Linked DNA regions of Alligator mississippiensis. The protein of the gene in region 1 interacts with the protein of each later gene in a pairwise test. Links are inferred from orthologs where the notes say so. Each region holds a gene or a part of one and is shown in the gene's direction. Other genes may lie near its edges.

The links.
Region 2: the proteins of TRIM54 (region 1) and DTX2 interact in binary tests that used the Homo sapiens proteins (3 or more experiments, as listed by UniProt). The two-hybrid records come from large-scale screens. The link is inferred for Alligator mississippiensis from reciprocal best matches to the Homo sapiens genes TRIM54 and DTX2.
Region 3: the proteins of TRIM54 (region 1) and TBC1D22B interact in binary tests that used the Homo sapiens proteins (3 or more experiments, as listed by UniProt). The link is inferred for Alligator mississippiensis from reciprocal best matches to the Homo sapiens genes TRIM54 and TBC1D22B.

The regions. Positions count from the first base shown.
Region 1 is NC_081824.1:197,185-200,927, reverse strand, and holds the start of TRIM54 (tripartite motif-containing protein 54), read left to right. Parts: upstream 1-1,501; 5' UTR 1,502-3,632; coding exon 3,633-3,743. Other genes in the region: DNAJC5G (dnaJ homolog subfamily C member 5G), read left to right, coding at 497-585. UniProt on the Homo sapiens protein: May bind and stabilize microtubules during myotubes formation.
Region 2 is NC_081837.1:16,777,697-16,781,439, reverse strand, and holds the start of DTX2 (probable E3 ubiquitin-protein ligase DTX2), read left to right. Parts: upstream 1-1,090; 5' UTR 1,091-1,184; intron 1,185-3,743. UniProt on the Homo sapiens protein: Regulator of Notch signaling, a signaling pathway involved in cell-cell communications that regulates a broad spectrum of cell-fate determinations.
Region 3 is NC_081837.1:35,935,991-35,939,733, forward strand, and holds the start of TBC1D22B (TBC1 domain family member 22B), read left to right. Parts: upstream 1-1,440; 5' UTR 1,441-1,537; coding exon 1,538-1,593; intron 1,594-3,743. UniProt on the Homo sapiens protein: May act as a GTPase-activating protein for Rab family protein(s).

The DNA.
Region 1 (3,743 bases):
CTGGGCACAGCCAGCTCACACTTGCTGCCCTCAGAGCCCAGCTGGCCAGCAGGAAGGAGCTGAGGGTGCTTGCGGGTGAGCAAGGCCCCACTGGAGCATGGGGGGGAAGACTGGTGGCCTGCGGCAGGCCCCAGTGCTGGCCTGCACCTCATGCAGGGCCCTGCTTGTGGCTGCCGCCATCCTCGGGCTATGCAGCGTGCCCCAGGCCTGGCTGCTCAGGTGGTGCCCCCAGATCTGGGCCAGCACCAGTGACTGTTTTTGACACCCGGGTCTGTCCTGGTGCTGGGCTGGTGCCTCTGGGCTTGTCCCAGGTTCTGGCAGCCGAGGACAGCTGCCCCTTTGGCTTCAGTGCCTCTAAGCATAGACTAGGCCTGGCTTGGTCTGGGGTTGGGAGTCCCATGGCAGAGGTAGAAATGTAGGATTGGCTTCTGTTGGCCTTGGGAGGGGTGAGGCCTGTGCCCCTCACAGTCTCTGACCCTCTGCTTTTGCCCCGCAGAGCCCCGCAGACCTATCGTGGCACAGCCCCCACCAGCAGCTACCAGAGCAGAGACCCCACCAAGCGCCAAAGCCCAAACAGAAAAATGAGGCTAGTCCATGTCCCGGCGCCTCCACCAGGACTCAGCGCGGGGCTCCCCCCCAGTTGTTGCTGCTTGGGCATCCCTGTCCCGCTGCGCTGGCAGCACTGGCCCGGCAGCCTTGCCTCAGCAAGAATCTCAGGTTAAAGGGGCCAGCGCCAGCCTGGCTCCCCAGGGCCCCCTGCTGCCTGGTCACACCTAGTGGTTGTGGGGGCTGCATAGTAGCCCGGAGCCCCCGGTACTGCGGCAGCTCCCCATGCTTCCTTCACCAGCAGTGACACTGAGCCCCACGGCAGGGGGTCGCCCTCAAGGCCCAACCAGAGACCCTGGCCGCAGCCCCACCCTGTGCCAGCCTGGCCCCCACTCACCAGCACCCCCCCCCACACCAACTCCCCTTATAGTCCCCCCTTTGGCCATGTCCCCAGGCCTGTGGGTGCCATGTTCTCCAGGGTGGGGCCTGGCTTACACAGCCTGCCTGAGAAGCACGTGTGTGGAGGCCGGCTGGGCCGTACTCCGCCTGGGCATGCGTGAGACCGGTAGCACTGTACCTGACCCCCCGGCCGGCAGCAGCAGGGCTCGGTGTCCCAGCAGGGCTCCTCCCTGCATGCTGGGTGCCAAAAGCTGCTCCCGGGGGCGGGAGCACAGCCCCTTCAATGTAGCACCCCCTTTCCTGCGCCCTGGTTTGGCCCTGCGGCTTGGCCAGCGCTGCCTGGCTCTAAGCCGCCACCCAGGCCCTTTGGTCTCACCTGGGCCCAATGCAGCAGGGTCGAGGAACCTTTTGTATGGATTTTATAGACACCATTAAAGGATGAGCGGAGGGCATCTGCCTCACTGTATCTGTTTGTCCTGGGGCTGGGTACCCCCTGCTTCTCCTGCCCGTGCTGCAGCCTCTGTGTCCTGGCCCCCCTGTCAGCAGGTCTCCAGTGCCCTCAGCCCAGGTCGTGTCCATTGCACCTGCTCTGGGGGCTGCTTGCACTTGGTGCTGGGTCCTGTTGTCTGCTTCAGCCCTGCTGCTCATGCTGCCACTCACCCAGCCTGTGCCCCACACCCTGTCTTAGTCATGGGCATCAGGCATCGCGGCCCATCACTGCAGCTATGGCTATCTCTTGGTGGGTCCCTGTGCTTCCCTAACTCAGTGGGGAGACAGAGGGTTCCCAGAGGATGTGGCCCTTGTCCTGTCAACTGTGGAGCTGCAGGCTGCCCTCTTCTTCCTTGGCTGCTCTTTCCCCTCACAGCATGGCAGGGGGTGGGGAACTTATCATGGCTAGGGTGGGCTCTGGCACCAGGCCCCAGCTCTGGCCTCCCCCAGTGGTGCTGCCAGTGCTGGGAGCAAGTGTCTGGGCCCATGGGCTGGGCTGTGTGCGAGGTGGCTGCGCCACACTAGGGTAGGGGGTGGGGGCTGCCCCTGCCAGCACTGGTGGGAAGCTTCCCACAGCAGAGACCTGTGCTGCAGCTTGGAGCTTGGACCTAAATTTGCCTGTGGGCTCGGTGCCTGGGCTGGGCCTGGTGCCACCTGCAATTGTTCAAGGCAGGTAGTGTCCTGCCACTCGGGCTTGCGCCCAGCACGGGCTGTACCCACCACTGGAGCCCAGGCCCTGCCTCACTACCTAAATATAGTGCTGGAGGCTCCCTGCCAGGATGGGGGCCGGGGGGGGGCACTAGGCTGGGCTGTGCCCCCAGCAGAAACAAGGGTCTAGCGAGCGGGTTCCAGCAAAGATGGGGGAGGTCCCTGGTGTCTGCTTCACAGGTTTACAGAAGCTTAGGGACTGCTGTTTGCTGGGTGGCTGCAGCGGCCAGGGGGCCTTACTCAGCCCCAGCTTCTCCCAGCTGCCATCCTCCTTGCACCCAGCTCCCTGGAGGGGCTCAGGTGTGCGGGGGCCAGGGCCTGGTGCTGGGGGAGGACCCTGTGCTAGATTTCAGACTGGCAGTGCTGGCTCTGACCAAGTTATGTACTGGCTCCCTGTCTCCCAAAGCCCAGGCCCAAACAGGGGGCACTTGCTGAGGCCCAGGGTGATTGCAGGACTGTGGCCTGGTGTCTGGGCATGTCCCCAGGTGTGGTGTCCCCAGGCATCGCATGCTAGCTCCTGGGATGTGCCTAGCACGGTGTGCTGGCTGGAGCTCCCTGTTTAGAGCAAGCCCAGGCCCCAGGGAGAGAGCAGTACCCCTTGCTCCCATGGCCATGCTATCCCTCACTGCCTGTGGACCTTGCTGGGCTGTGGGCTGGGGCCTGCATCCCTGGGCCACATCTGTGGCTGTCTGCTGGGGGCAAGAGCAGTGGTGTTCCATGGGCACATAGGGCTGGGGCCTTTGTCCCAGCTCTGTAGCTCTGTCCTGGTGGCAGAGGTTGCAGCGCGACCCAGGAGCATGGGGTTGGGGCCTGGGCTATCCCCTGATGGCCACGACACCCCCCCAGGCCTTCCCCACATTCCCCCTTGCCCCTGGCGGAGCCCTCAGCCTCTGCTAGTAAGGCCCTCAGCACCCTTCTTCCCTGGGCTGGGGGGCAAGTAGGGGGTCCCATGGGCTCTCCCAGCACAGGCGCCTGCCTGCCCCATGCCCCTCTCCCTCCGGGAGTGTGTGACTCAGTGTCACTCGACGCTACTGACAGCTGCAGCCGCAGCCAGGGATAAAAATGGAGCTGGAATTTCAGGGATGCTGCACAGCACAAAGCTCAGCTAAAATTAGCCCCTGCTCTCACCCTTGCGGGGATGGGCAGAGGCCAGGGACGGGCAGCGGAGCCCCAGACGCGCTGGGGGCAGCTCCGGGACGGACGGAGAGAGCAGGCAGGCCGAGCACGGGGCAAGCGAGCTGAGAGCAGGAACTGCCGGTGGAGCTAGTGGGGCAGACAGGACAGGGCAGACAGAGAGGTACTGGGGCAACCGGACGGCAGGACAGGCCGGCGGCAGTACCGGGGCAGACAGAAAGGGCAGGGCAGACATACTGAGGTACTGGGGCGGCAGGACAGGCCGACAGCAGTAGTGGGGCAGACAGCCGAGGCCAGGCAGCCCAGTGGTGGTAGTGGGGCCGAGGTGCAGTGGGGCAGGCAACGCAACCGTGGGGATGAACTTTGCGGTGGGCTTCAAGCCGATGCTGGGGGACGGGCAGAGCATGGACACGCTGGAGAAGCAGCTCATCTGTCCCATCTGCCTGGAGATGTTCACCAAGCCTGTG
Region 2 (3,743 bases), on another chromosome or scaffold:
ATCTCTGAGCTCAAGTCCTGACCCTTACTGCATCCAAGGGAAGAACAGAGAATGCAAAGCAATTCTAAAGCACCAAAGAGAATTAGAGCTAAAGAAAAAAAAATCAATCCTCCTGCTCTGTACAATAAAAAGCTTTCAACAAAAGACTCAGAATAAAAATTGCCAATGTCTCAGAAGTGGGAAGAAGTGAGGTTGTTTTAACCCAGCTGTCTCCACCAATGCAGAATTGTTCTTGAAAAATGTGTGATCGAGCCTGACCCTGAATTTGGCAGAGGAGAGAACTGAGCCCCCTCCCTGTAAGGCTTTTCAAATCTTTTTGGAGAAATGAAGCTCTTTCTTCAGTGCTCATCCTTAAGGCTGAGAACAGAAAGGTTATTTAATCCTGCAGGTAATTCTCTTCCTTTGTGCCACTTCTGCAATCCTGCCTTTATCACTCACAGCCACAATGGGGATGATTAGTGTTCATCAGACGCTGGTTTCAAAGCCGTATCTGATTCTTGTTCAGACTTCTTAGGCTCGTTTGATGTCGGAGGGTTCAAGAACCCAGAGCAACGCAGAAAACAGGACGCGAGTTCAGGATTAACCTGCATCAATGAATCTTCTTTGAGGCACAGAGTGATGGAAAACCGATGCATAAACACGGTTTTCTTTACAAGAATGTCTGTGTTTCCCTGCTGGAAGTCTCAGATCCTAAAATGCCCCTCTTCAATCACCTTCCCCAGCCTTGCTAGTTATCCCTGTAACAGGTTGTTCTCATCGTTATGTCTTGATCCCACCATCTAATCCACCACAACGTCACTGGGCAAAGCAGCTTTTATCTGAGCCGGCTCTCGAAACGCAGCACAGACAGCAACTCTCTCTCCATTAAAAGGGGCAGACAAAGAAGAGATGATGATAAATACTCTGAAACCAGAGAGTAAACCCATGAGCTAGGAGGTGAGGGGAACTTGCTACCAGCGGAGGAAGAGGGAGAGACCCTGGAGCTGAGAGCCGCGCTGCCACGTGAAGAAGCAGGACGAGCCTCCCCACGCTTCGCCCCGCCCCCTAGCGCGCGGCCCCGCCCGCCGGGACTACATCCCCCAGCATGCCCCGCGCGGGCGCATGCGCGCTGGGGCTCGCCGGGCTGCGCCGGGAAGTCGTTGCCCAGTCGTGGTCGCCGTCGTTTGAGGAGCCGCACCGCCACGGTGAGCCTGGGTCCCGGGCCGAGGGGAGCAGGCGGGTGTGGGGCCGCGGGGGTCCCGGCAGCTTCCAGCCAATTGCCCCTGCCGCCCTCTGGGAGCCCCTCCCCCCCACCACCCGCGGGAGCCCGGGGCCGCGGTCGCCCCCAAGCCGTGCCCGTGCCCCTCCGCGGCGGCCGCACTAGGCCCCGGAGCCGGTGTCACGCGTGGCCGTCAGCGCGACCGGGCCTGTCCGCCTCCCTCTGGATGGGGATTGAGGCCCCGACACGAGCGGGAGTTTTACTGCATCCCCACCGGCTCCAGTGCTGTCGGCGGGTCGGAGCAGCCGGGCCCGTGGGAGCTGCCCGCGGGGGTGTGGGCCAGTGGCTCCCGGGAGCGACGCGGGCCTCTCGCTGTCCAAATCCCCCGAGGTGCAGTGAGACTCGCGCTCCTGGAAAAGCCAGACTCTGGCTCCCCGGCTCCTGAAAATTGTATCCTTTGTCTCGGCTTTAAGGAATTTCACTCTCGCGTCTTTGGGATCAGAGCCTGCGAACACTGGTTACCAAGGCCCTGGTCTGGATTGCGAGAAGTGCCGGCGAAACTTGTTCGTTAGTGGTGCAATGTTTTCACATCCCCAGCCAGCGTAACAGCGAACCTGTTCAGTGCAGTCACGCTCTGAGAGTTGTCTTGTAGGCCACAAGGGGACTGTTTATGGCGATAAACACTGCGTCTGGTATGCTCAGCAGGATCCGACCCCTGGCTCTGAACCTGCATCTGGACCCAGAACGGCTCTGCCTGTTCGTGGTCTGGTTGCAGGGGCTGGAGTCTGAGCTGCTGCTCTAGGAACTGGCAGTAAGTTTGTGTATTCTTGTCATAGTATACAATCGCATCCTAATCTCTGGTGAAGTCTCATGCGGTAGAGCAGTGCTCTTACCCCCCTTCTACTGGTGGGACGCTGAGGCAGAGAGATGCAGTGACTTATTTAGAGTCACCCAGCGCTAAGCAGGGACTGGAACCCAAGTTCCCAGGTTAGTGTTTGAACTTTAGGCCAGTCTCCCTAGGTAATTGTGCACCTTGACACTTAGGTGTGGTGCCTGCCTTCAAATTACGATGGTTTCTTGATTAGGATTCTTTAACGGGGCACTGGAAGTTTTTAAATCGGATTTCCTTCCTGCTGTGGCTAAGAGCTATTGTGTCTCCTAAACTGCTTGAATTGACAATCCATTTTTGACTTTTAGTAGTTTACTACAGTGACCTTTGACTGAGCAGTATCAGTTTCAGTTTTGCTTATGTTCTGGTTTGCTCTTAGGCTCTTGCTGTTTGCTTTTGAACAAACAGTCCCTTCTGCTGGGAGTTTTTAATGCAGTCTTCCCTAACTTTGTATTTGAGCAACACCCTAAGAAAATATTCATCACACTTGCTTCCATTGGGGTTAAAGTGGGAAGTGGTGGGAAAAGGCCTGTTTGTTAAAGTACCAACTTCAGACTGAATTACTGAGTTCACTTTTTGGCTCTGCTATGGTCTTCTTTGAGATCATAAGCAGGTCACATTACTGCTTCAGCTTCGCCATCTGTAGAAACAGACCATTCTTTCTTTATCTGTCATCTCTCTAAATCATAACTGACAGCTGCTTTCCTAAAGGGCTCTGTCCAGGGGGTCCCTTATCTTGATTAAAGCTCCTGCAGTTTATAAATTGCTGATGGTAGGAAGTCTTTAATGCTGGAAAATCATTCTGCTGATCTCAAATCCGCTTGCAATCTTCACTTCATAATCTGCAGGCAAGTGCAGTGATTGCAAGGTCCCGAAATGGAATTTATGGTTCTCTAATCTCTCATATCAGGCTGGGTGAGTCCTTCCCTTGCTTTTACTTGGCAGTTGTTAATTCTTCCATTAGCATTCACATAGATCAGCATGACTTCCTTAAACTCCTTTTGACTTGTCAGACTGAGACTGGCACTGTAAAAGAACCTTGTAGATAGATCTGTGGATGATCGTAACTGCTTGATGGTATTTATGCCGGCAGATGTGAGCAGTGCTGTGTATTGTTCTTCTCTTGTGATGTGTCCTCATTTGTGGCATGCCATGTCTCATTTATATCTCCCTGTGTCTTACGGGGCTTCAAATTGGCGTATGTTGTAATGGAAGGTGACAAGATTTGATGCGAGTTGGATGACACAAAGGCTCAGGCTGCCTATGGGAGTTGGACTTCTGACTCATCCTAAAGCATGTTGAAATCTGACTGCAAAAACCAGAAGGAAACCTATTAATCTGATTTCTCTGTTGGACTAGGTGCTGGGACTTGTTACCTTGTAGTCACTGACATAATGCTGCTCCTGGGTCTGGGTGGGTGCTATTCTATCTTTTGGCTCTGTTAATTTTTGTGACTTAGCAAGTTGCTGATTTCCTTCTAGCCCAGTCTTTTCGTATATCTTGCCAGGAATATTAAGTTCATGCACAAGTGGGTAAATTCATCTTCCATTTGCACACTTCCTGGGACAAATGACAGCATCACCCCCAACTTGTTTTGCCTCCGAATTTCTGCGTAGGGTCATGGCTGAAATTGGCCTTATCAAGAGCAGTGATTTT
Region 3 (3,743 bases), on another chromosome or scaffold:
TATGTATATATATGTGTGTGTATATATATATAGATGTGTGTGCATGTATGTGTGTGTGTGTAATGGTGTTTTGTTTTAATCATAGAAAAATGTGGATTTGGGAGTTACTGTTTTTTAACCGAAAATTGGGGATTTTTTAACTCAGAGAAGCCCAGGGTCCCTGGACATTGCCAGGAAGTTAGGCAGCTCGCAAAGGGAAGACGTTCTTCCTCAGGTGTGAAGACCGGAAGCGGGGCGCAGCTGCCCAGCTTGCTGAGGAACCACGTCTGCCATTCGGACGCTCGTCCAGCTTTCTCCCAGCGACGTAGCTGGTGCAGTAACAGAGAAGGCCCTAAGAAATCCTTGCCCCCCGTGTCGTTTCGGGCCCACCAGGGCTACAACGTCTCTATTTCACTCCCATTACCCGGACGGGATAACAGACAGCAAAAGCGCAGAGGAACGGGTAGCTGTGTTGGTGGGACGTCAGGACCATTGAAAGGGACGGAGGTTGTTCACCCCGGCGGAGTGGAGAGATTAACAGGAACCGGGAGAGGACAGAGTCAAGGGGCTCTCTCAGCCCCTCTCAACAGAAACGCGGCGGTGGCTCCTGCCGGGCGCTTGGTTTTAAACATTTGGGTGGAGCAGAAATCAAAGGGGGGCCACGCAGCTCCCGATCACCCGCACAGGCTCCTGCGGCAGCTTCCCCGGCGGGCTGCGCAGGGCCCGGCTGCTCTGGGGGGGCCGTTAGAAAGCTTAGGACAAGGCCCCACGTGCAGCGAGGCTCACGTGGCGAGTTCACGGGCCAGCGCAGTGGACGTGCAGGGATCCGAGCGCCCCGCGGACCCACCCCACTGCGTCCGCCTGGGCCTCTGCCCCTCCAGGCTGGAGCTGAAGGGGTTAACTGCAGAGAGCCCCCTCTTACCCACCCAGAAATAACAGCCCCTTCCCCTCAGGGGAAATGGTTTAACCCACTCCATCTCAAACAGCATTCCACCCCTCTTCCTCGGGGCGAGTGGTTGGACCCATCCTGTCTCCCCCCCCCCCCCCCGGCAGGTTATTTAACCGCAGCTCATTCCTCTCCGGCGCAGGTGGTTTAATCCGCTTTCCCCCTGCACTTGGTTTAAACTGTGCCCGCCCCTTCTTCCCAGGACAGATGGTTTGCCCCTTTCCCAGCTTGGTTTAAACTCCTCCTCTAGCAAGTTGGTTCCTTCCAGACCACTTCAAGGATGGTTCGCCCCACACGCACCCCGCCCCGTCCTCCTCTGTGAGAATGGCTTCGTCCTTCCCTTCCCGCAGATGGTCTCTCCCGCCTGAAGCGAGAGGCTCCGCCCTTTCTCCCGTGCCCTCGCTTCACGTCCCCGCAGCATCACAGCTCCGCATTGGCTCGGCGGGAGGCGCCCGAGCCGCGCAGCCAATGGCCGCGCTCTGCCTTCCCGCACCCAAGATGGCGGCGCCGGGGTCGGGTCGCGGGGGCCCCGGAGGGAGGCGGTGAAGCGGCCTCGGCCCGCGGCTCCGGGACCCGCCGCCGCGCCGCTCCCGCCCGGGGCCCGGCCGCGCCATGGCCGCCGACAGCAGCAAGCAGTTCTGGAAGCGGAGCGCCAAGCTGCCGGGCAGGTGAGGCCTGAGTTGCCCCCGGGCCGGGCCGGGCTTCGAGGCCCCGAGGCGCTCCCTCCTCCCCGCCCGCGGCCTTCCCGGGCCCTCGTGTGGCCCTGTGTGCCTCCCCCGCAGCCTCCAGCACCGCAGGCCTGGGCGCTCCCAGTCAGGCCCGCAGCCCCTTGGCTCCAGCACCGGGCCCGGGCCGCGGTTTCCACGGGGGTGACAGAGAGCGGCCTCGCGCTCGTCGCTCCGTGCGCCCACGACGCTGCCCTGCCGAGCGCTTCTCCTCCCTTTCCGACTTGGTGTCGAGAGATCCGCCGGCCGGGGCCAGGCGAGCCCGAGCCCCGCGCTGCAACTTCCCGAGGGTGGAGGTTTGGGAGAAGTTGCTGGTGGCACACCGCCAGCCTGTCATGTCTGTTGCAGAAGATAGGGGTAGCTCTGTCTCTCGCGTCTTCTGTGCAGTGATCCTTTCCCGGCCCTGCAGCATGGTCCGGGCACGATCTCCAAAAAGGAGCTCGCGCAGAGAAAGGGAAGTTTCTTTTACAATCTGCTCGCTTTTGGGATCTTCCCTTGCGCGTTCACTACCTCCGCCTCCATCTTCCTGAGAGGGAAGAGACGAGCCTTGAAGCTTTCTGTAGGCGCCGGGTGCTCGTGGCGGGGTAGTTCGTCGGGACCGTACCCTTTCAGAGGCATCCTTATTCCCGTCTTAGACGCGCGGGAGGGGACAAAGGTGTGGAAGGGAAGCGAGTTGCCCGCTGTCACCTGCCCGATGCAGTCGAGCCACTCATTGCTTTTTCCTGTTACTAACAACACTTCCAGCTGGGGCTGTGGGGAGTCTGAGCCCGGCCATGTCTTGCTGAATAGGAGGAACCTGGTTAGTTTCCCTCGTGTCCTGCCCAGTGGTTTATCGAGTCCTGCTCTAGGGAGAGAGGCTCAGCAGGACACCACATTGCTTGCCCTCCATGCGTAGGGCCTTACTATTAATAATAAAAGTGGGTTATGCTGCTCTGTGGGAGTAGCAGCGGCTTGCTTTTTGAAATGTCGTTGGCAGGCTTCTAGGATTTACTTTCTGCTGCTGCATTGACACTAAACAATTCATCTCTTTATATGCAGTAGAGCGGATGGACCGCAGCAGAGAGCTGCTTTGTGTTGAATTGAAAGAGACCCTGCCTCAAAGAGTTTTTGTATCTAAATTTCAGTAGGTGAAGGTGGAAGGAGGGAAGAGACAGATGGACAGTGACTGCTCCAAGGTCACCCAATAGGTCATTGCCGGAGTTGGAGCAAAGCCTAGGTGTCTGCTTCTGGTCCAGTGCTCTCCTCACTGATCCAGTGTCGTCCGCCAGTGGAGGAGAACGACCAGGTGAAGCTGACTCAATCCAGAAAGAGGACTTGCGCAGACTAGTTTCACTAGCCAAACTGAGCTCCATTTAAGAAATCAATAGTGTCAGAGGTGCTGAGAGATCAAGATTAGTGTATTCTATAATAAATGTGGGGGATTTTTAATGATAGTCACCCCCAGAGCCACTTGTCCTCTTTCTGCCTTGGTTTGCCCACTTGCAGTAGTGAGGATGGGCTAGCCCAGGTTTGCATGCTGCTTTCGGATCCTCTGTTGAAAAACTTAATATCAGGCTTCTTCGCCTGATCAGGCAGTGGGGATGAAGTTTTACTCTCAGACCCTCCTGTGTAAGCTGCTCAGCTCTTTCACAGTCTTGTTCAAGCTTTTGCTCTTCATGGTTTCTGATGTCTAAGCCAGCCAGCAAGAGCTAAGTCAGCCACATAAATGACTCATAAAGCTGTTTTTTACAGTTTTTTCTAATCATATCCACCCCTGGTAGCTCTAACCACTACCAAGTAGGAAACAGTCACCTACACTTCCTTCAAAAAAAAAAAAAAAAAGTTTGCAGTAGGGCTGTAAGCAGTCAGGTTGTGTTGTTAGAAGCCTGCAGAGTTTTCAGCCACATCAACTTGTGCTTATCAGTATGTTCATGACTTCCTGGGTAGAGGAGAAGCACAAAGAAATGGAGCGTTTGCTGGCAAGTGGAAGCTTGTGCGATCTCCAATGTATCCTTAGAAGTTGCCCCACTGTAGTTTCCTCCCTGTGAGCATTGCTGGTTCTCTTTTGCTTTGTTCTGTCCTTCAGCCTGTCTTTAGAAGGACAGCCAGGGCAG